Caenorhabditis elegans: one gene and its partners. Changing the gene in region 1 together with any one later gene gives a genetic interaction. Each region holds a gene or a part of one and is shown on either strand. Other genes may lie near its edges.

What was found. A genetic interaction does not mean that the proteins touch.
Region 2: of lin-25 (region 1) and sdc-2, changing one enhances a phenotype caused by changing the other (phenotypic enhancement), as found in Caenorhabditis elegans (one large-scale study listed by BioGRID).
Region 3: of lin-25 (region 1) and swsn-3, changing one enhances a phenotype caused by changing the other (phenotypic enhancement), as found in Caenorhabditis elegans (one large-scale study listed by BioGRID).

What each region holds. Positions count from the first base shown.
Region 1 is NC_003283.11:12,646,754-12,654,447, reverse strand, and holds the start of lin-25 (Protein lin-25), read right to left. Parts: upstream 4,524-7,694; 5' UTR 4,492-4,523; coding exon 4,459-4,491; intron 4,389-4,458; coding exon 4,274-4,388; intron 4,227-4,273; coding exon 4,144-4,226; intron 4,097-4,143; coding exon 3,987-4,096; intron 3,937-3,986; coding exon 3,849-3,936; intron 873-3,848; coding exon 216-872; intron 165-215; coding exon 1-164. Other genes in the region: gpa-9 (Guanine nucleotide-binding protein alpha-9 subunit), read left to right, coding at 7,210-7,315, 7,381-7,502, 7,546-7,608. UniProt on the Caenorhabditis elegans protein: Participates in the inductive signaling pathway downstream of let-60 Ras and the RAF/MAP kinase cascade to regulate specification and differentiation of many cell types. Positively regulates the fate of vulval precursor cells.
Region 2 is NC_003284.9:11,519,016-11,526,600, forward strand, and holds the start of sdc-2 (Sex determination and dosage compensation protein sdc-2), read left to right. Parts: upstream 1-3,691; 5' UTR 3,692-3,723; coding exon 3,724-4,842; intron 4,843-4,887; coding exon 4,888-5,123; intron 5,124-5,568; coding exon 5,569-5,787; intron 5,788-5,837; coding exon 5,838-5,991; exon of another isoform or gene 5,992-6,049; coding exon 6,050-6,115; exon of another isoform or gene 6,116-6,158; coding exon 6,159-6,709; exon of another isoform or gene 6,710-6,755; coding exon 6,756-7,090; exon of another isoform or gene 7,091-7,136; coding exon 7,137-7,267; exon of another isoform or gene 7,268-7,408; coding exon 7,409-7,585. Other genes in the region: hpo-34 (ZM domain-containing protein), read right to left, coding at 1-2. UniProt on the Caenorhabditis elegans protein: Component of the SDC complex that functions in sex determination and in X chromosome dosage compensation specifically in hermaphrodite (XX) animals.
Region 3 is NC_003281.10:2,762,616-2,772,342, forward strand, and holds swsn-3 (HMG box domain-containing protein), read right to left. Parts: upstream 6,065-9,727; 5' UTR 6,051-6,064; coding exon 6,009-6,050; intron 5,957-6,008; coding exon 5,750-5,956; intron 5,705-5,749; coding exon 5,639-5,704; intron 5,590-5,638; coding exon 5,398-5,589; intron 4,627-5,397; coding exon 4,538-4,626; intron 3,719-4,537; coding exon 3,516-3,718; intron 2,253-3,515; coding exon 2,035-2,252; 3' UTR 1,395-2,034; downstream 1-1,394. Other genes in the region: ATP-dependent RNA helicase laf-1, read right to left, coding at 8,236-8,417.

The DNA of each region.
Region 1 (7,694 bases):
TTATCTGTATCAGCAAATGGAAGAAGCTGATCATTTGTCTTCATGTGCTCTCTCCGTCGTAGACGTAACGGATCCGTAATGGTTTTTCCGAGAACTGGTTCTAATTCATTCAATAATGTTAGAAATGATGCATTCTGCCAGGCAACGTCAGCAGCGTCAAACATCTGTAAATTTGTTATATTTAATTTTACAATAAGCATATAATATAAACTAACCATTGACAAATCAGTCAAAGCCTTTTCCAATCCAAATTGAACTTCAGCTACGGTAAGTTTTTCACTTCGAATCAAATATTCAATAATTTGAGGTAATTTTTTGTAGAAAAATGTTGTGGATTGCCATCGAAAGTCAGCACGATGTTGTTTTGGAAAGTGTAATAAATCCATTGATTCTTCACATTTCAATAGAATTGCTCCATGAAGAATATCAAAAATCACATCTGGACCATAGAATCGCATTATTTCAGCAAAAGTTTGAATAGTTTCAGCCATCAGTTTACTGCTTTCGTGATTTTTGAAGCAAGCAAAAATGGGGATCAAAATGCGAATGGAAGGATTTTTCAAATCGAACAAAGCGATTCCTTCAGGGATGTATTGGAATTTTACAGGCTTGCATTTTTCAATATGTCTTTCGATAAGCATTTCCACCAATGTAGTTGCTGATTTGTCAGGTGAACGAAGTTTTGAGAATGAATCACGACAGAGCTCAAGCTGATGAGTGATTTCAGAGGCTTCGGAAAATGCTAGAAGTGAGCTACAAAGATCATCGTGTATGAATGCGCTGAGAGCTTCCAAAGGTTTGTAGTAAGCTTTACGAACGTCCCCATACTCAATTTGTATCATCTCCAGCTCATCTTCATCAGAAAGAACATCCTGAAAATAAAAATAAAGAATATGGATTTAAAGATAAGTTGTTTTTTTTTGAATAACAATTCTATTGGTTCCAAATATTAGTATATTTCAAGAAAATTTAAATAGATTTTTAAAAAATTGTATTGTGATTTTTTATGTTTTTTTTTGAAATTCGTACTTCAAGCTGCAACAATTTATTCATATGGGTCTCGCGACGAGAAAAAGTTTTTGGTAAAATATTTTGGTATCATTTTTTCTTCTTTTTTTGCGAATTAGGATCTTATTGGTTCGCTCTTATGTATTCTTGTTAAGAGAGATTTTAAATTAAATTTTTTAATAGAAAATAATTGAAAAAGCAACACCCAATAAAACCTAAATTTTGAAGGCAAATGCTCTTTTACTACCTCATCTTTTACTACGTTGCTCTTTTACTACGGTTTACTCTTTTACTACGGCCGTATTTTTTACTACATTTTCCAATTTCGATTTTTTACTACGAAATGTATCTTTTACTACGGTCGTTTTTTTTACTACGGTTTCCGAATTTGATTTTTTACTACGATTCGTATCTTTTACTACGATTAACGATTTTTTACTACCTAATGAAAAAAAGAATATCAAAAGTTGGAATTTGAAAGTTACCTTGTAGCAGATTTTAGGTATAATTACAATTTCACTCTGAAATCAACATGAAAGTTTCATAGCTGTGTTCTTTTTCCAACTTTTGAAATATACTACTGTCTGAGCGGTTTTTAACTGAATCCGACGATATCAGAACGGGAAAATGAAATTTATGAAAATTTTCCAAACAAAACTATTTTGAAACCTTATTAGGCACTAATCAGTTATTGTAGAAAAATTCTCAATCTGTCGTTTTTGAAAACATTCCTGTCAACTTTGTGATTTGGCATAATAATAAGAAACTCGACAAGTAGGGCTCTATATACCCACATATCTTTTCGGACAGAGGGAATGCGAAAAATTAATCAATCGCAAACTTGTTAAGCTTAAGATAAGGAACACTTTTCCCGTGCAAACTATTTGAAAAAAAATCTGAATGGATCCAGATTCGAACCAGCAATGACTCTACTGAAGAGCGCGCGCTTTACCACTTCTCCAAACAGGCAAGTGGCGGCCGCGGTTCCAAGGAATATGTGAAACCAACCGAGCTGTACGAAGTAAGAAGCTTCCATTACTTTTTCAGATATTTAGTTCTGAAAACTTTGTCAACTCTCCTTATCAACAACTAAATGGTCCTTTTTGTAGTTATTTCTACTGGAAAAAAAGAGTGTGCCTGTAAATAATATCCTGCGTATAAACGTTGTTGTCCAGTGAAAACCTTCGCTTGACTTGAAATTTATCTTGAAAACTACTTTTTTTGAGTGTATTTTTAAACATTCTACAAATTCCACTTAATAGCAGCTCGGGAACTTCTGTGATTCATCGAATAAGCTATTTTCAAAAAAAAATTGGCCCAAAATTTGTTTCTGAAAAACGGCCCCAATCTTGTTTTTTTCCAGTAATAAATGCAATCTGAATTTTTTCGAAATTATTTTTCGCATGGAATGTCCTGTTTTTGGGTTTCAAACGCACTTTTTTGTCAATTTTGCTTTTTAAAAATATGAAGTGTCGTCGAATAAAATGCACGGTACGCAAAAGTACGCAAACACCGACATGTACCGTACTCCGGAATTTTTTCAATTTCGATCGAATTCGATTTGCCAATAACGAAAACGACGAAAACGTTACGTTTGAAGCCGGAAAATGGGATTTTGATACGAAAAATTATTTTAAAAAATAAACTTTTTATATACACTCTTGGAAAAATAAGAACTGTAGTGGTTTTTGAGAAAAAACATTTTAGGCCCAAAATTTAATTTCAAATGTTTCATTTCTGTATCTCGTATCAACATGCATGTACAATTTTCTAGAAATTTCAAGTCAAGGGAAGGTTTTCACTGGACAACAACGTTTATACGCAGGATATTATTTACAGGCACACTCTTTTTTGCCAGTAGAAATAACTACAAAAAGGACCATTTAGTTGTTGATAAGGAGAGTTGACAAAGTTTTCAGAACTAAATATCTGAAAAAGTAATGGAAGCTTCTTACTTCGTACAGCTCGGTTGGTTTCACATATTCCTTGGAACCGCGGCCGCCACTCGCCTGTTTGGAGAAGTGGTAAAGCGCGCGCTCTTCAGTAGAGTCATTGCTGGTTCGAATCTGGATCCATTCAGATTTTTTTTCAAATAGTTTGCACGGGAAAAGTGTTCCTTATCTTAAGCTTAACAAGTTTGCGATTGATTAATTTTTCGCATTCCCTCTGTCCGAAAAGATATGTGGGTATATAGAGCCCTACTTGTCGAGTTTCTTATTATTATGCCAAATCACAAAGTTGACAGGAATGTTTTCAAAAACGACAGATTGAGAATTTTTCTACAATAACTGATCAGTGCCTAATAAGGTTTCAAAATAGTTTTGTTTGGAAAATTTTCATAAATTTCATTTTCCCGTTCTGATATCGTCGGATTCAGTTAAAAACCGCTCAGACAGTAGTATATTTCAAAAGTTGGAAAAAGAACACAGCTATGAAACTTTCATGTTGATTTCAGAGTGAAATTGTAATTATACCTAAAATCTGCTACAAGGTAACTTTCAAATTCCAACTTTTGATATTCTTTTTTTCATTAGGTAGTAAAAAATCGTTAATCGTAGTAAAAGATACGAATCGTAGTAAAAAATCAAATTCGGAAACCGTAGTAAAAAAAACGGCCGTAGTAAAAGATACATTTCGTAGTAAAAAATCGAAATTGGAAAATGTAGTAAAAAATACGGCCGTAGTAAAAGAGTAAACCGTAGTAAAAGAGCAACGTAGTAAAAGATGAGGTAGTAAAAGAGCATTTGCCAATTTTGAACATATATTTTGGTAACCTTCAACATGTAAGCTTTTAACTTTAAACAACATTTATCGCTCGTTAAAAATACTAAAAATCTTACTTGTATCAGTTGCGCGAGGAAGAAAACAGTCGGCTTCATAATCGAAATAAGCTCATCTGCATGCAATTTATCAGAAAATGACTTGATTCTGAAATTAATAAACTTGGCAAAATTTTTCAATTAAAAATGCCAACTCACTGTACATAGTTGACCATTTCCCGGATCAATTCGCATTGCAAACATTTCGAATAAATTCTATCTGTTTTTGTATTTATCACACTGTGGATGACTTGATTCCAGGTGATTGACTGTAAATTTATAATTTTTTGGAATAAAACAAAGAACTACAGAGTACCTTATCTACGACAAGTTTGAGAAGATGGTCCCGGAAAACATCATCGATATATGTTCCATTATAAGCAAACCGAATCAAAATATCTGAATAAAATATATTAATACAATTACAAAAAAGAATTGCAACAAACCACAAAGCTGCTGAGTTGAGATACCGGGAAAGTCAACTGGACGAATGACTGATGATACTTTTTGTCGTTTTTCATTTGAGCAATTGCGGAGTTTGTCAATATATTCAATAACTATCTAAAAAAAAATTAAATACAAAATAAGTTTGTTGAAATTAAAATAAAAATTTATTTAAAAAAAAACTCACTTTTGTTGAACTATCAATTTTGATACTATTCATGATTTAATTGATTTAAATTTGAAGCATTTAAACTGTAACCAAAATATATTCAAACACCGACATTAACCCAATATTCGGTGCAATAGTATAAATGGATGTGAGACGTAGACACGCAATAGAGCGAGGTGGCCGAGTGTTTATTGTCCCCCACTACTTGGGGGACTAGGTACGATGCATTCCTCTTCCATTGTACATTTTCTGACATAGGAGGGATGTCTTCCTTCACTTCTCAGAGTCAATGAAAAATTGGGCGTGGACGGCATTTATTTTCAATGATTCTACACAATTTTCAGATGTAATAATCAAACTGCCACCCCAACAATCTCTTAAGACGATTTAATTCAGCTTCATTCACTTTTCATTTTCAAAAAAAAACTTTAAGCTTGTTTTAATTACTTGTTTATAAGTTACCATGGAAACATTACATTTTCTAAAATGTGCTTTGCACTCAAACTATAGTTTAAGTTTATATATAAACTTGGAAATAACAACTTTCAATATCTTGAGCATGTCTCAAATTATTTCATTCGTAATTTTCACTAGTGTTTTTATCAGACCCAAAGCCACTATTGTAAAAAAAAACTAGGCAAAACTTTCAGCCTTTCAAAGCTGGGTGCATCATTTTCTTCATCGGCCAAAAATCATGTTCTCGGCAGAGAGCAACTTAAGAAACAGGTGGAGGTTAAGTAAAACTTTGAGTGAAAATATATTTTTGAAGATAGATGAAAACTTGAAAATCGAAACACAAATACTCGAGGAACGTAAGAAGAAGGCTTTAAAGCTTCTTATCATAGGTACCTGATTAAAAAAAAAAACATAATCAAAATGTAACCTTTATTATATTTAGGTCCGGGAGAGTCAGGAAAAAGTACAATAGTCAAGCAAGTAAGGTAAATTCAATGAAAACTACATTTTTTCAGTTGCTTCCAAAAATTATCACCTACTCAGCTGATTTTCAAAATAATTAGATAATATATTATCGGTAGTTTGTAATATTGAAATTTTGAGAATTCTTCATTGTGGAGGATACAGTGTTGAAGAAAAAAGAGCTCTAAAACATGGAATTTATATAAATATCTTGGAAGGTATTGATGAGATACACTGGGCAATTATGTGGAGACAATTAATTTACGAAAATCCATCTTCAATTGTAAGTAATTACCGTATTTCCTCTATTAGTTTTGCACCCCTTTGCTCAACTTTGACAACTCATATCTCGTTTTGTTTTAAGCATATAAATAATTAACAAACTACAAACGTTAGAAAACATCTTGCAAAAATTTTATCAGTTGACAACTTTTTTATAAAACAAACGACTACTGAGATATGAGCTGTGAAAGTTGAGCAAAGGGGTGCAAAACTAATAGAGGAAATACGGTAAATGTTTCAAAACTAATTTCCATTATAGGAATGCCTAAATCAAATCCGAATATTTACGAAACAGTTCAATAAAACTGGAGAGACTGAAAATGTTTTGTGCAAAGACATTATAAAGTCTATCCAGATGTACATAAAAGATGAAACAGTTGCCATGATGTTGAGGAATAAAACTGTTTATAATATTGAAGACTCAACAATTCAGCAAGTTAAACGTTGGGTTTTATTCAGTCTAATTATTATTATTTCCAGTTTCATTGAAAACCTTGCAAGAGTTATTGGAAAAGAATACTTGCCAACCGGAGAAGATATATTGAAAACCAGAGTCCCAACCTTGGGAATTGCACAATATGAAGCAAATATAAAACATTTGACTTTCAAGTAACACTTTGTTCAGTTTGTTGTGGTTTTTGGAAGGAAACAATTATTTACAGATTCATTTTTTTCGACATTGGGGGACAACGTGCTCAACGTCGAAAAATTACCCATGTGTTGTGAGATGGGCTGGGCTATGCCACCATCTCTCAATTACAAAGTTCTTTGAGCGCGACGAACACATTTCCATCGTGTTCGCCGTAGCTTAAAACCTTTATGCTCCCTTTATTCTCGCAATTCTCTCCCGATTAGCATCTTTCTAAGCGCCTTCCCATTCAAATTTGCCGCCAACCGGCTGGGTCTCGCCACGCGCACGCGCCGCCGACCGCGGCGCGGCGCAGCTTGCTCATCCTAATTGGCTGGCCTAAATAGTTTCATTCATTCGATTATCAACCGCTCCTTCTGAGCGGTCGTCCCCTTTACCTTTTCCGTTTTATTAATTGATATTTAGTTGTTTTCTCTCCGAAGTATTGATTGCATCGGCAATCACGGGCATTGGGATCAGAGCACAGCCTCTGACCCAATTGCCTAGTTGATTGACCGATTGACAACAACAATACATGAACAGTTCACTCATCATCCGCTGGACTTGATGGTACAATCCACAGCCGCTAATTGATTGTCTTAATTGTTTATTAATGAAGGAGTCTTATAGTCATACAATGTGTTACTCGTTACATCGCTTATCTTTATCCTTCCTCGCTCGGCACTTGACCTTCGCCTCCTCTCTCTAGACGCTCTGGTTTGAACTCGGCTGTGTTTCCCCAACGCACAATTAGCTGAGCGGTCATGTGTTAGACGATTCCCATGCAATTCTTTTTATTACTTCACTATCAGAATATAATCAAGTTTTGAGAGAAGATGCTTTTGTGGTGTGTTTTTTTAAGTTGAGACAATTAAAATATTTATTTGTTATAGAGCCGAATAGAAGAATCACTTCATTTGTTTAATGAAATATGCAATGGGATGTATTTTCATTCAACCGCAATTATTCTATTTTTGAACAAAATTGATCTTTTCGAAATCAAAATCACTCACACCAACATTACAGTAGCATTTCCAGACTACGAAGGTTAGATTCAATTATTTCCTTTTTTCCAATTATCATCTTAAAACTAATTAATAAATGATTTCTAGGTCCTCGAGAACGTGATTGTGCACTTGAGTACATTCGAGTTCAATTTATTTCTCTCAATAATAACAAAAATCGGAAAATATATCAGCATGTCACAAGTGCCACGGATACAGCTAGAATTCAAGTGAGTTATCAAGTTTAAATATAAATTGGAGAATCTTTTTCAGGTTGTCATTGATATGTTGTTCGATATAATCATATCTGCAAGTTTGAAAATGGTGGGAGTTTAGAGAAAACATCAGTAAAAATAGTTGAGGTTTCTTTGGTATCAAAAACTCAATTAGCAATACTCGAACATCGAATCCATGCAGTAAAT
Region 2 (7,585 bases), on another chromosome or scaffold:
ATTTTTTCTTCGGTTCTTTTTTCCAATCCACGAACAATAGGTAACCTAAAATAGCTGAGAATTAAATTTGAAAAGGTTGTTAGATCATTATTATTATTATTATTGTTGCGAAAAAAAGTAAAACGCGAAGATTGGTTTCAAAAAGCAGTCGGGCTCTTAACTCTGCTACAAACGGCAAACACGGCGCCGATGATAACTGCCATTTGATGTAAGATGATAAACCACGACGACAAGGGGAAAGTGAGGGTAGAGAACAATTTCGAAACGACCGGTATGATAGTATGTGACACGCAGCACACTTTTTGGAGCACGTTTAATTTTGATAAACGCAGAGAAATTTATAAATGATTCTTTGCCGGACACATTACATGATAGCATAATAATTTTTTGTGACTTATTGGGGGACTTCCATTTAGACACGCTTAGAACATGAGAACATATTTTAATGTCAGAAAAGGAAACATAAGTTCAAAATTAAACTAAAATTATGGGAGAGAAATGGGTCTATATTCCAACTGAATTCCATGCTGTTTGAAGCAAGCGTTTTATAGTTTTTTAACCTGTCAGTGTTCCAGTTGGGAGGTAACAAGCATTGCACTTGCAGTGGAAATTATAGCAGATGATATTTGCTAAAGTGACAAAGAGAAAAAGAATGTCGATGTTTTTAATGTTTACAGTCTGCCAGTACCCGAAAATATTTGCTCTGAAAGGACGTTAAGTCATCTGAACGAATACAGTTTTTTTCATACATCTGAATTTATTTCAAGACACAAGAAAACATCTTATTAAATGCTCAATTACAAATATGATGAAATCCTACATTTTAGTTAAACGCACATTCTAATTTTGATAAACACTATATTTCCCGAGAAAACGACAATGACAAATTAAAGATAAAAATTTAATTTTAAATCAAAAACTTATCCAAAATGTTTCTGTTAGTGTGATATGTTTTATTTGACTGGAAACTGAAGCTTGACTAACAAAATTGTCATGTTGAGACAAGTAAAAGTTTTCTATACATTTAAAATTATATAATTATTTAGATATCATTTGTAATTTGTATAACACATTATTACATTGCAAAACTAGTAAGTAAGAATTTTTAAGAGTTGCAAAAAATAATCAGACACAAAATGATACATTTTTAAAGTTACAATTCCAAACAGTGAAAAACGCAGAAACGGACTATGACTTTGTGATGCCATACCCAAAAAATTCGAGAATTGGATATAATGGATATGTTTGAAAAATAATGTTCAAATCTTCGAATATCCTACCGAATTTGAGTTATAACGAAAATTAATGTTTTGTTGGTCGGCATCGAACTTTTCCTTGCAATCCTGTGAACACTCGGGAAATTAGTTTTTCGTGCCATAATAGAATACGGCTGAAATTGGTTTAATAAAACATTAATGGCAAATTTTTCAACATATCATTTATTTTTTGTTTCAGATACAGTTAAACATATTTACTGATTTTTATTTTCGGGCCATTTTTATTTTTCTACAGTCTGCGTTTCATCTAATAGTTCCATAATCTGTCCATTTCTACAGCAACATGCACAATTTTTGTTCAACTGTGAATAAAAATAGAGGAAACAAATCTTTCGTCAATCTCTATGCTTGGTTGTATAATCTTCGTGCGCTGACAATGTTGCCATGGAAATTTATCTTTCTCCGTCTCTCTTGAAAAAATAATGTTTTAAGCCAAAAGTGTTTTTAAATAATTAATTAAAATCATCTATGAAACCAAAAACAGGTCTTTCAACTCTTAAGATGGTCGTCTTTATCAAAAAAGTGTCTGGAAATGGCAATGTGTATTTGGTATTTGTAAGTAAAACGCCAACCGTAGGAAAAGGGTTTAAATCATTTCCTGATAGTTCTGAAATATTTGAATATCACAAAAAAAGTAGAACAAGCTGAAATTGTTACTAATTTGGATATTGGAAAAAAGTTTTCACGATTTTGTAATTTTTTTTAGCATGGCACAAAAATTTTATAACTTTCGAAAAAATGGAGCTCCTAGTGCTCCTAGTGTAGCATTTACACATTATTGGCAATTTTTAACGGAAACCTCGAAAGGCAAAAAAAACTATTACAAATTGAAGCATTTTCAATATGGATGTTTTTCTTTTGAAATGGTTTAGAAGGCAGCTTTCACAATTTTCAAAAATTTAAGGCATTTCGGTTATAATAATGTGTTGTTCACATAATGTCTCTGGCGCATCTCTACTTGTAAGATCTATTAGTTTTGTATCACTGATAGCCCTGCACTCAAAACGACCCATAAAAATAGTATTGCATGAAAGTTATATTATTATTAAAATGCACTACTTAAACTGTTTTACTTATAGTTTGATTTTAAAAAATTCCTGCTGTTGGAACATGGTCTTTGAACAACCTATTATTAAAAAATATAACATATATTCGATGGATCAGTTAAAATTGTTCAAAATTATTTGTTACACATACCCATTATGTATTCCCATTGATAGTATGCATCTTCCATTTCTCCCGTCAACATAATTGTTCATAAATTTTTCTAAATATCGACTCATGCACAGTTTCTACGCGACTCAACCCCGTTTTGTATGACGTAAAAATCATCGATTGTCCAGCCGGCTGTTTAGATGACCGTTGGTCATCACTGCATAGCGCAACGCAAAACGGCAGAGGTCAGAGCTGCGGTAACGACGCGCTGTTCACGGCATTATAGAATTTGGCACATTCGAAGATGAAGACAATCTGCAGTTATTGTACATATACTTATTAATTTGACTTTTCCTCTTATCGGATTAGATGCCTGAGCCCTTTCGATAATTATACCTAAATCACTTGTTTATTCTGTACCTTACTTTAGTTTCATTTTTATTAATATTGATGTTATTTTGCGTAGGAGTTTTTGCTGAATGTTTGTATGAAACTTCTTTCAACATATGTGTGATATTTTCCTTTTTTCCTCTAGCTTCACACTTTTACTTTCGAATCGAAAGTATACGACATTTGTACAAGGTTAAACTTTACGCAGAGTTTCTTATCAGAATTGCGCGTGACATTGACGTTTATACAAAGCTAGAAAAACTTTAGTTAAATTATTTATCCTAAACATATTTTAAATTTATTTTATCCATATAACTTTAAACGCAGCCTCCGCTTTCTTATTGAGTCTCCATGCCCCTGTCACAGTTGTGTATCCTTGTTCTCTCTACTCTCTCGTTTTCCACACAGGTTCAGTCGATGTCTCTTGGGTCTTCTCCTTTTTTCCCACTCATTCCTATCTATCGTTTCTTTGCGCTCTCCACCATGGCTCTCTCCATCCAGTTCGCAACATATTAAACAGAAAATGGAGACTTAGAGAAAACAGGACTGGTGAAACCAAGACAAAGTAGGGAATAGTTCACAAAGGTTAAGGCATTTGAATTCTAAATTACCAATAAGTATCAATTTTTGTTTTTGACTACTTTTCTAGATTCTGTTATTTTAGGCTTCAATCTCTTCATTATTTTCAAAAAAATTTTTTTTCAATCTCTTCACTATTTTCAAAATTAATTCTTTCAAAACTTTTTTTTTGTTGAAAAAATTCAAAAAGCTTACCATAACACATTTAATTTTAATTTTATTTTTCTGCGACAGCCCGTTGTCTAAAAATTTTTTCAAGAACCTTTCGTTATTTTCACTAATATATTATTTTTCAGAATCGTGATTTTCTCTTCCGGTACTTATGAGTGATGAATCAGAACTAGGAAATCAAAGTGAAATGGAGTCATTCAACGAGTCCGATTCTCCAGATGAAGCTGATCCAGACGTTGTTATCATCCATGACATAGTTCATCTACGTGCAAGTACTACAGGCGACTATAGTCAATCAGAAATTGGGAAACTTCCCGAGCAAAACACGTTTTTCTTACCTGGAAGAGTTAAACGCAACATTTCATCAAACGACTCTGATGTCATTATTGACGAGGATGAGATACCAGACGGAGCAATCAGAATTACTTCAGATACTCATTTCATTGGATCAAGTAGAGGTACTAGTGAACTCGGAGATTTCGAGATGGATGAACAGGAATTTTTGAATATAACAATAGAAGAAAATGGAAACGAACAGGAATTAGAAGAACACTTGCGCAACGCATACCGTCATGAAGAAGAAGAGTGTTTTGAAGAAGAAGACGATATAATTGAACTTCCTCCTCTACCTGTAAAGCCAGCTGTAAAGAAACCTCGAAGAAAACTGCCAAAACATCTGAGTATAGAGAGTGGATCCACCGCAAAAACATCAAAACTGGTAGCAGAAGTTGTTCACGATCACCCAAGACCTGTCAATTATCGCATGAAGCCAGCTGTAACTGATGATGGTAAAGTAGTTGAACAGAAACGGACTCGAGTGACACGTAACATTATGTCACACACAATTCCGCAGTATCATTTGGAAGGTGAAGAAACTGAGTTTGGAAGAGTGAAAGAATCTACTTTATCAAAAACGATCGAACAGTATCTCCAAGCTGGCAAACTTGTTTCCCCAAAGTGCGACCAGTTTCGTGAACAAATTGTAGCAACTGCGGTTGAATACGATGGATCTGTGAAAATGTTGCAGTTTGAAAATGCATTGAAGAAACATTCCGGCAAGCAAAAACGCCTAAAATATCAAACCGGGTGGTGGAAAGCTTCTAAGAGTCATTACGAGAGAGCAGTGAACGGTTATGTTGCAATGCCAAAAACCCCAGTATTATCAATTTCTGATGATCCAGTTCTCTACAAACACCATTCACTATTTCCCAAGAACCAATCTTCAGAACTTGAAAAAATTAATGTTCAACTGCGTATTCGTTTAAACTCGGTAAGTAGTCAATTATTTATCTGAACATCTCAATTCTTATTACAGAAACGGCAAAACAATGATGTTATCCCCGACTCATCTTATTTTGTCAGAGAGTTCCTCATGCAGAAGCATTCAATTTCGCTTCGTATGAACCGTTCATCGGATCTTCCTGAACTCTTCGTCCCTCCAACTTTGGAATGTGGATATTTTCCACAAGATGCCGTTACAGTTCAACAGCAAGAGCACTACTTGATGATGCGTTTTGAAGAAGCTCAAGACGAATATCATAATATAACCTAGTAAGTTGAGCTTCTAAAAATATAGTTTTTATTTGAACAAGACGAGAACAAAATTATTCGAACATTTGAATTGAGACTGATAAATAACTGAAACACACACAAATGTAGCTTTAAGCTGCAATTTTTTTTACATTTTCTATGGCAACGCGTGGCTTCTTTCTCTTTAATTTTGTTTCTATTCTGAAACCGTTTAAAGATGAAGTACGCTCAGTTGAGAAATTATGAACACCTTTTCTATGGTAGTTAAAAATCCAAATATCATAAAACCTTCTAAAAAATTTTGGAAATTTATTTATTTCGAGTCGGAAAGTGATGAAAACTGAGTTTGCGACAAGTTTTAAAAACTCTAAAGCGCTATCGCTTGCTCAAAGTTTTATAAATATTGTTTTCATCTAAAAACAATCAGAAATATCATCAGAAATATATTTATAAAATTTATTTTCAGCCGCAGCATCGCCCCTCCCGTTGAATTTCAAGTTGGAACAATATCGGCTAAAGAGCTTCACAAATTTCATCGTATTGGCCGTCATATTCATGGATTCTTTGTAGTCTGGGAGAATAAGTTTCCTGAATATGATGAAAGTGGAATATGCTGTCCGAGAAAACGTTATTTGGTCGATATGTTTAATTTAATATGTTTCCCACTTTACACGGAATACGAACAGTAAGTTTTTTGAATCAAAGTTTTGTACGTTTAAATTTGAAATTTTGCAGGTGGGAAAGTAGACTAAGAGTCGCATTTGACAAGACCATTGTTTATAATCTACATCTTTCTGAGATACTTCGATGCAATCGCCCGGTTTTCGATTTTCTTTCAAAGAACAAATCAATGCTCCAACCAATCACTCTAAAAGAAATTGTTTATCTTGTAAGTTTTAAAAGTTACAAATTGCAATTTTTATTATAAAAAGTGTGTTCCATTTCAGATCGAGCAGTCAAACATGGATGCAAAATCTTTTGCTGTAAAGTTTGGATTACGGACCTTTTACGATGTAAGCCACAAACGTCAAACTGTACCTTATTATTTTCTTTCAGCACGGTCGAGCAACCAGTAATAAAGACTATCTATCAGCTTTTCTAATTATTACCGGTGGAGCAAAAGTCGTCACAGAAGAAATCGATTCTGAGCGTCTAAGAGTTTTCAATTCGGATTACATGGAATCGGGAGTTCTGACGTCATCGGGAGATGTGTACACATTTGAATTTGACAAAATACCAAACAACTATCAAATTTCCATTGGTTGCAATGCTGATGGAGTGGCTGAAATGGAACAAGAAGATGTCAGGCATGAGCTATCAGAATGTTCTTCTAGAATAACCAGAATAATTGGTGATTCAAAAAAACCAGAAAAAATTATTGCAAGGCCCCTGGTAAAAACAAACCAAAATGACGGAATGAAGTTCTTTACACGGAAAGATTTACTTAATTACCGCATTAAACTGTACGATCCAAGTTACGTTGTTCCACGTGCGAAAAAACAAATTGTCAACGAGCCTGCAAAGAAAAAGCCTGGAAGAAAATCGAAGACAAGATATGATGCAGCAATGCAACAAAACAATTTCGAAATTGAGGGTGTACCTTCCGAGTATGTTTATCCATTGCTCAAAAATTGCCTTATGAAATTTTTTCAGCGTCGACTCCGAATTTGAAGGATATTTAAGTGACAGTGAAAACGTATTCCAGAAGCCGTCAAAGTTAATGCGATCAACGTCATCTGATTCAGTTTTCATTGACTACCAGTACCGTGAAAAAATGTTCCTTGATGTTTCATGGTTCCATCAACAAAAAATGATTGATCGCTCTCTACCGCCACTCAAAAAGAGGAAAAGAAAGATGAATAGAATATACCATAAACATTCCGTTCGATACACAATGTTACAAGCAAACGGCTGCGCGTTTACAGAAATGTACAGATGCTATGATAAAATATTGCCGTGTGGAACTAAGGAAATTGCGCGAACCAAAAGTGAGATTGACTTGTTTGAAATAATCAATAACTAATAATTTTGCAGATGCAATTCGCTTCCCTCACAGATTCCGAACCTACAATATTCCACAAGTCTATGGGCCAGGGGACAAACAACTGATTACCGAAGTATTTGGTGTTGTGAAAGATGTTATCACCCGTGCTACAGGTTTTGAGGTAAGATACTTTTGTTTTCTTTAAATGCGTGATAAGAAAGGTAAGGAATTTTGTTTTAATTAGTAAATTAAAATCTAAAAGTCAAATACGTCATAGGCAAAACGTTGTTAATACATATCAACTGAATAAGTATTCTTTCAGAGTGCAAGCATACGGACCGCCAATGACATTGCACAAGCTGTATATGACGCTAATATTGCTCGCCGAGAACTACTGGAGAACCTTGAGCCTAGTGATAACGGTATTCTTCCTAGCCCAGCGTACTTGGCGATCGAGATGCTTTCACATCAGAAAATGTCGGGACGACTCTGTTTGGAA
Region 3 (9,727 bases), on another chromosome or scaffold:
TTATGCACTAAGACTTCAATCCGTCATAACTTTGCTCATAGTGGAAATTTGAAAAAAATAAAATAATATTTGAAATTGGCGTAAAAAGTGGAATAATACGGCGGTTATTATTTTAAAAAATAACAAAAATTGAAACATATCACCTTCTGGGAAGGCCTGGAAGCTCGAAACTTCCACAAATGTGCTGAAAGTTGTCAAGACCGACCAAATTTAGTTTTTCTACCTTGCTTCAATGAAAATTATCAAAATTAAAACATAAAATCGAAAGGATAGTTGAAAACTTGTCCAGGAACAGAGGAAAACTGGATTTCCATGTGCAAAAATTAAATACCCTATCTCCGCGAAAAGTGATCGGATCGAGCTGTGATTTGAGATTTCATTTTAAATCATTCTATAAATTCTAAATTTAACGTAAAAACCGGAACGATAGTGGAAAGTTTGTGAATTTTATGGAAAAATGTAAATTGTTTGAAAGAAGTGAGCAAGACTAACGGAGATTTGACCGAAACAATGGTGAAAACACACCAAATATGAAAAGGGGAGGTGGGTGTGTGTGTGTGAGAAAAGGGGGGAGGTGCAGAAATTTTGGCAAAACTTTAATTATCGTTTTTAAAATAAAGAATAGAGATATCACAATGAACTTAGATACAGTGGATAGGTATTGAAAAGGAGAACTTAAGTTTCGAGTCTCAAACGTTTTGAACATAAACTCGAATTTTCCTTCAATTTAAAGTGGTTTTCGACCAGTACTTCGGTGTGCGCAAAAACAAGAGGGGTGTGGTTTTCCGCTTGTGGAGCCGACAGGATGCTCCCAAATCAACCCCCTTTTAGATGAACACACGTCGCTATATTTTGTGAATGTAGAGAAAAAAGAATTTCAAAAATCGGTTCCGTGAGAGCCGAGATATAAACGTTCAAAATTGTATTACATTTTTTCGGACATTTTTTGAACATTTTTTGAACACCGAAAACGCGTGTATGAGGCAAGATGGGGGTTTTAGGAAAGAGGCAGAAGCCTGAAATCTGCGATTTTTGGGATTTTTTAAAACATATTTAGATAAAAATTAAGCTCAGCCCATTTCGTGGCTTTCTGTTTTTCAAATTTTTGGGAATTTGTTTTCTACGAAATCTAATTTTTTAAAATTAGTTTTTTGTTGATTTTTTTCTAGTTTTTTAAACAAAAATTAACGAAAAAAAATTTTTTTTTTGAAATTTCAATGCAAAACGTGGGCGGGACTCAATAGGCCACGGCCATAAAATGGTCAGCCATTTTGTGGGCGTGGTCTACCAAGCCCCGCCCATTTTTTCGAACATTTCACTTTTTCGGAAAAATTGTTTTTTTTTGTTTTTCTCTTCAAAAATTTAAAAATTTTCCCGATTTTTCGACAATTTTTTAAAATACATATATATATATATATATATATATATATATATGAATGTGTATTGTTGATAATTTGATAAGAACAATAAATGAATAAATAAAAAATATAGGAGGAAATGAATAAAATACATAACAAAAATCGAGAGATTCTGTGTGAAAATTGGTGAAAAGAGGATATTGGAAGAGGGAAATTCGAAAAAAAACACAATTTTTTTTTCGAAAAATGGCCAGAAATGGGCGGAGCTTAACTTTTTCGGTTTTATTTTTTTTTAAATTTAAAAAAAGCGAAAAAGCTAAGAAGCCACGCCCACAAAATAGACAATCGCGGATTTTTTTTTTGAATTTTTTCAGAATAATTTTGAGATCAAAATAAAGCCTCGTCCATTTTGTGGGCGTGGCCTAACCATTTTTTTTTCAATTTTTTGGGGAATTTTTTTCTGCGAAATTTAATTTTTTTTCGAAATATAATGAGATATTTTGCGTTTAAAAAAATACATAAAGCCCCGCCCATTTTGTGGGCGTGGTCTGTTAGGCTCCGCCCATTTTACGGGTAAAAAGGTGGTGTTTTTCAGAGGCGGAAAATTAAAAAATAGGGTAAAAAAGTAATAAATTAAAGATTTTTGTTGGTGAATTTAAATTTCCCGGGCGACCATTTATTCTTCCATTTTTTCTTCCGGCTTTTCCTTATTTTCAGTAGTAGTAGTAGTGGTAGTAGTTTCAATTGCTCCATCATCTGTACTTGGCTCTGTGCCAGCAGCTGGTGTTTCTGTGCTCTCCGCCGGCTTCTCCTTGACATTTTGCTCTTTTTCTTGCTCCGGCGTCTTCGGTGTCTCCTCCATTACCAAATTTCTTAACAGTGGCGCTGAATTCGCTGAAAAAATTGGAAAAAATAAATGATTAGCACACAGCACAATGATGATTGATCACTTTTTGATAAGAATGCTGCGTGTCCCCGCAGGGGTTTTTTATTGAAAATTTTGAAAATTTGGTTAAAAATTCCAATAAAAACCCCCGGCGGGGACACATTTTTTACACAAAAATTCGCAGAAAATGTGCCCCCGTAGGGGTTTTTTGCCGAAATTTATGACATTTTTGGGCTAAAAATTTAAAAAAAAACGGTTCAGAGGCTGAAAATGTGTCCCCGCAGGGGGTTTTATTGGAATTTTGTACCGAAATTGTTAAAATTTCAATAAAACCCCCTGCGGGGACATATTTTCTGCCATTGAACCGTTTTTTTTTTAATTTTTAGCACAAAAATTGCTGGAAAATGTGTCCCCACAGGGGGTTTTTATAGAAATTTTCGACAACTTTGGTCTAAAAATGAAAAAAAAAGCCTCAATGGTTGAAAATGAGTCCCTGCAGGGGTTTTTTATTGGGATTTTTAACCAAAATTGTCAAAATTCTAATAAAAACCCCTGTGGGGACACATTTTCTGGCATTGGACTGTTTTTAGCGCAAAAATGGCAGAAAATGTGTCCCTGCAGGTGTTTTTATTGGAACTTTCTACAAATTTTGGGCTAAAAATTAAAAAAAAACGGTTCAGAGGCTGAAAATGTGTCCCCACAGGGGTATTTAATAGAATTTTTAACCACAACAGCCAAAAACTTCAATAAAAACCCCTGTGGGGACACATTCCCAACCATCGAAGCGGTTTTTTTTTTCAATTTTAGCCTAAAAATTGTCCCCACAGGGGTTTTTATTGGAATTTTTGACAATTTTGGCCTAAAAATTCGAAAAAAAACAACGTTTTTTTCACATTTTCACCGGAAATTTGCGATATTTGAGCTAACATTCTTCAAAAATCTCAATAAAATCGAATTTTTCAGCGTGTTTTTTGCAGATATTCACAATTTTGAGTTGATGTTTCAATAAATTTCAAATTTTCAATTAAAAACCCTGTGCAAGGGGGACACATTTTCTGCCAATGAAGGTTTTTTTTCACTTTTAGCCTAACAATTGTCCCCACAGGGGTTTTTATTGGAATTTTTGACAATTTTGGTCTAAAAAATTAGAAAAAAAAAACTGTTTTTTTTTTCAGATTTTCACTGGAAATTTGCCATTTTTTAAGATAAAATTCTTCCAAAATCTCTCAATAAAATCGAATTTTCAGCGTGTTTTTTCTCTATATATTCACCATTTTGAGTTGCTGTAGTTTCCTGTTTCTTCTTATATTCTTCATAAGCTGTCGCAAGCTTCTCCTCCCATTCTTTAACAGTTTCCTCAAACTTTTCCTCATCTACAACTGGTTTTTCACTAACAGCTTTCTTCAATTGCTCTTGGAAGTCGTCACTGCCCTTTTCGATGGCTCTTTTTCGATTGTCATGGGCTCTTTCCAGTCTGAAAGATGGATAATTTGGGAAAAAAATCGATTTTTAAAGATAATTTTTAGATAATTTTTTGAAATTTATTTGAATTTTTAACTCGAAATTTCAGATTTTAAAGCTTAAAAAATGTAATCTTTTAGAAATTTTAGATTTTTAAGCTTAAAAAAATTATTTTTTTTAGAAATTTCAAATTTTTAGACTAAAAAATTGAATTTTTAAGAAATTTCAGATTTTAGGCTCAAAAATTCGTATTTTTCAGAAATTTCAGATTTTAGGCCTAAAAATTCGATTTTTAGATTTAGATAATTTTTTTGAATTTTTTAACTCGAAATTTCAGATTTTAAGCTTAAAAAATCCAATTTTTTAAAAGAAATTTCAGATTTTTAGACTAAAAAATGTTTTTTTTAGGAATTTCAGATTTTAGGAAAAAAATTTGATTTTTTTGAAGAAATTTTAGATTTTTAGGCTTAAAAATTCGAATTTTTGAAGAATTTTCGGATTTTTAAGCTTAAAAATTCAATTTTTCTTGCTATTAGAATTTTCAGAATTTTCGGCTAAAAAATTCAAGTTTTCGCTTTTTTTTTTGAAAAAAATAAATTATTTCGATTTTTACGATAAAAAATCGATTATTTAATCCAAAAAATAACATTTTTTCGGTTTTTACTCCAAAATATCTCCGAAAACTGAAAAATTACACATTTTGCACATGTAAAATTTGATTTTTTGCTGAAAATTTCAATTTTAAGATCAAAAACTGCTCAAATTCCGTGAAAAATTGGGCAAAAAATCGATTTTTACAGCATTTTCATAGTGAAATTGTATCAATTTTTACTTTGTGAGCTCTTCTTCAAGTTTGCTCTGATGAGTACCAAGAGATGTCGCCTGTCGCTTCAACATCTCCATTCGGTGGTGTGGAACTACCTGAAAATTGGGAAAAATTGAAAATTCTGGAGAAAAATAGAGAAATTTGAGCTTTTTGAGCAAAAAAATGCAGTTTTTTGTGATTTTTTCTTGAAAATTCATAGTTTTAAGCGATTTTTCTTTGAAAATCCTAGTTTTCCGAGATTTTTGCTCAAAAAATCCAGTTTTTTCACGATCTTCTATCGAAAAAATCAGATTTTTTAAAACGATTATTGCCTGAAAAATTCAAATTCCCTTCGAAAAATCCACTTTTTAACGATTTTCATTGAAAAAATTCAGTTTTTTAACGAATTTCACGACTCAAATGCTCAATTAAATGGATTTCTCTCGCTTTTTCCAGCTTTGTCAGTATTTTCAAGTTAAAATGAGCAATTTTTGCTCAAAAATTAAATTTTTTGTGACTTTCGCGTAAAAAATCCACTTTTCAAACGGTTTTTGTCTGAAAAATTTAATTTTCATTCGAAAAATCAAAATTTTCCGAATTTTCGTAGCTCAAATTCTCGTTTTAATGGATTTTTCTCGCTTCTTCCCAGCTTTTTCAGTGTTTTCAAGTCAAAATTAGCATTTTGTGTGCAAAAAATCCAATTCTCTGAGATTTTTGCTAAAAATAAGCAATTTTTAACGATTTTCGTTTAAAAATTCAGTTTTTACGATTTTGTTGCTGAAATGCTCGCTTTAATGGATTTTTCCCAGCTTTTTCAGTATTTTCAAGTCAAAATGAGCATTTTTTGTGCAAAAACCCAATTTTTCAGGATTTCCAGAATCCCTTACAGTTCTTGTATCAGTAACGATGCTCGGCGAGAACAAATCACTAATCAATCGATTATTTCGTTCAAATCTGACACCCGCAAGACGTCGGGTGCTCAATTCATTGCCACCGTCATCCTCGTCAACCGGTTGAATTACAACTCCGCCAGCGTCCATTCGGCTTCTCGACATTTTTTCGTTGTTCTTCGCGCGTCCCTGGAAGAAAATGTATTTAAAAATGTATTTTTCGGCTGAAAAAAGTCACTTTATTAATCATAAAATTGGAAATTCCGTTTCCTTGGAAATGTTTCATTTGTTTTTCGTAGTCTGCCTGAAAAATAATCATTTTTTACGGGAATTTCTCGTTGATTTTAACTTTTTCAAGCTCATATTCATGTTGATAATGCGATTTTTCACCGTCCGGAAGGTCCAACCAATACTTTCCAATCATTTTTCCAATATCCCAAAGCTGGGCTTCTGGATTCTCGGCGCGAACTTTTGGCCACATCTTCCGACTGTATCGCATGTAGGGTTGAAGTGGTCTTTCTGGTACTTTTGGACCACGCGATGACATATCTTGGAACTGAATTGGTGATTTTTTGAATTTAAAACCAAATTCTTGCGTGAAAACTCACATTTCTCGCCGGTGTGGCTTGCGGATGACGGAAAGATGACATTTTTCAATCTGAAATATTAAATTTTCAAAAACTAAACAGAAATTCGACTGGAAAACCCAGAAGAAACACCAAGAAAATACAAAAAAATCGATTTAATTTGAAAATCCCCTCAATGTCCAGTGGGGCGCGCTTGCTCATTGTAGGTGTGGTTTTGTTTGGCAAGCCTGGCACGTGGTTTTTGCAAGAGTGCCGCACGTGGTTTTTTTTTAATTATTATTTTGGAGAAAAAGCCAAAAAAAAAGGAAAAAAACATCAAAAAACATGAAAATTGCTGAAAAAGCGAAATTTCATTAATTTTCCAGGAATGGCAAGCCAAAAAGGAGCGCCGACGTCAAAAAGCTTGTACTTTTCGCCGATTTTACTGTATTTTTCTGTTCTGGATTTAATAAAAACTCGATTGGAAGCTGAAAATTACAAGAAAATTAGGAAAACTTTCAGAAAACATCGATCAAATGAAAATCCAATGAAAGACTGAGGAAAACTATTAAAATTGGCAGAAAAATTCAAATTTCTGAAAAAGTTTGCATCAACTGAATTTTTTTTGCAAAAAAAAACATTTTTTGTGTATTAAAATTTAAATTTCGCGCCGAAAAAGTGTTGTTTTTTGGCGCGAATATTGAATGGCCTAGTTTTTGCAATTCGGCCACCGCGGCGATGATGGTAGGTGCGCCAAAGAGTACACTAAATTTTTTGTTTTAATTTATTCATCCAATATGATTATTAAATAGTTTTTTTCGAAAAAAAAATAGAGAAAGGAGGGAAAATCGGGGGGGAATACCTAGAAAAAGCCAAAAAAAAAGGGGTCAAAATTAAGAAGATGTCTGTGGAAACCCGTCGCTACAGATCGAGAACTTGTGAACGTTGCACACGAGATTCGATACCTTCGGGGGGATGTGCTTACAACAAAAAGATGAGCCACTGAAAAACAATAGAGCACATTTTCAAACAGTGTGTGTCACAGGTGGGGGAGAAGAAATCTGAGAGAAATGATGACAATTGAGAGAATATTATCACTCTATAGGACATTATCATAATAATTATGAGTAGTTTTCGAGAACTTTTCACAGGAAAAACGAACGAACGAAAAATCAACAAATAAGTTACTACCTAAAAAGAAATTTTGAATTTGAATTAATAAAATATCCTATATATTTAAAAATTGTCACAATTAAAGTTCAAATACCAACAAGTTGAGAGGGTGATGCATTTGATATTTGCCTTATAGCGCCACCGTAATCGCCTGCCTGGTTATGCCTCATAGAGGAAACCAGGAGCCGTACGGGAAGAGCCAACAAAGATAGGCAAATTTTCAATTTTTTCGGGAGCTGCAGCACAAAACAACGTGGACAACGCGACACACACACGTAGGAAAAGTAGTGGGGGTGGGGGGACTTTTTCGAGGCACACACCACTTTTTTTTAGCGACGAGCAGTTACAACAAACTGCTTAAGGAGAGGGGGGGGGGGGGTGGGGGTATGGGAATTTTGCTTTAAAAAATCGAAAATCTCGCAAAATTTGGTTTTTTGGGATTTTGTTTTGAAATTTAAAATCGCTTTTAATTTTGGTCATTTTTTTGGGGGGAAAAAAAAAAGAATTTTTCCAATAATTTCACAAAATTGGAACTTTTTCCAAATTTCGAAAAATCTGGATTTTTTTTTCAAAAATTGTAAAAGGAATTTTCCAAAAATTTGAAAAAAATTGGAATTTTTTCAGAATAATTGATTTTTTTTCAAAAAAATCGAAAAATAGTTTCCAAAAATTTCAACAAAAAAAATGATTTTTTTTGAAATTTGTTTAAAAAAATGGAATATTTTTCCAAATTTCAAAAAATTGGGTTTTTTTTTTGGAAAAAAATCGAAAAATCAGTTTTTTTTTCCAAAAATTCCAAAAAAAAAATCTAAATTCTCGCAAAAATTCGGTTTTTTTTTTTGGAAATTGTGTTCAAAAATTGATTAAATTGGAATTTTTCGTTTTCAGCAACAAAATTTTGGCGAAAATTGAAAAATTGAGTTTTTTGGGACTTTTTAAAGCAAAAACAATGGGGAAGAAATATACTAAATTGGGTGTAAACATTAAGATTTTTGGAAAGAAAAAAATGGGGGAAAAATGAAAAAAAAAAGAATAATTTTTGGAGAAAAAGGAAAAACGATTAAAAATGAGTGGGCGAGAGACATGGGCGAGTCATTTAACTCCACCAATCCTGTTGAGGCTGAGCACGTTGCTGTTGTTGCTGTTGGCGACCTCCACCACCGCCTGACTGGAATCCACCGCCTCCACCGGAACGTTGTCCACCGCCTCCGAAGCCACCGCCGCCTCCGTTGCCGCCTCCGCCGTTTCCACTTCCACCTTGATAACGGTGATCGCGACCTGGAATTTGATGGTTAAAATTTTTTTTTTGGAAAATTTTTTGGATTTTTTAAAATTTTCGATTTTTGCCACTTATTTAGGAAAAATCAATAAAAATTCGGAAAATTTTGTGCCTGGGTCTCGCCACGACAAATTTTTGTTAAACGCCAAAAAGATATGCGCCTTTAAAGAGTACTGTGTTTTCAAATGTTCGTTTTTTCAGTTTTAAGAAACATCGATAAAAAATTCGGGTCGAACGAAAGTTTGAAACTACCGTACTCTTTAAAGGCGCAAGCCTTCTTGTATGTAATAAAAATTTGTCGTGTCGAGACCCTGGGTACAGTAATTTCACATGCGCCTTTAATGTCGAAAGTTTGTAAAATTACGGTACCCAGGGTCTCGACACGACAAATTTTTGCTCCATCCAAAACGGTGTGCGCCTTTAAAGAGTACTGTAATTTCAAATTTTCGTTTCCGTCGAATTTTTATCGATTTTTCATAGTTTTTCAGAAAAATCAATAAAAATTCGGCTAAAACGAAAATTTGAAACTACCATACTCTTTAAAGGCGCGCATCTTTTTGACGTTTAACAAAAATTGTCGTGTTGAGACCCCGGGTACAGTAATTTCACAAAATGTTGACCTTTAAAGGCGCATTCAGGGTATCGGCGCGAATTCTCAAAAAAAATCACTGAAAATTCGGTTTTTTGTGGAATTTTTCTAATTTACATCAATTTTCCACGTAAAATTGATGAAAATTGGTAAAATTCCACAAAAAAAACCGAAAGCGATTTTTTTTAATTTTAGCGCACCGAGACCCATCTGAATAAACCCATGTGCCTTTAATGTCACAATTTTACACGAAATTACGGTGTCCAGGGTCTCGACACGACAAATTTTTGTAACACGCCAAAAATGTATGCGCCTTTAAAGAGTACTGTAATTTCAGATTTTCGTTTTTCGGCCGAATTTTTATTGATTTTTCTGAATAACAGTGAAAAATCGAAAAAAATTCGGCCAAAACGAAAACATGAAATTACAGTACTCTTTAAAGGCGCATACATTTTTATATTCAGCAAAAATTTTTCGTGTCGAGACCCCAGATACGGTAATTTCACATGTTGATTTTGACATTCATTGATGACATGATGACATTCAGGGTCTCGGCGCGAAATCTCAAAGAAATCACTGAAAATTCGGTTTTTTGTGGAATTTTTCCAACTTACAACGTAAAAGTGATGAAAATTGGTAAAATTTCACAAAAAACGGAATTTTCAGCGATTTTTTGAAATTTTTTCTGGCAAGCGCACCGAGACCCATCTGAATAATTCT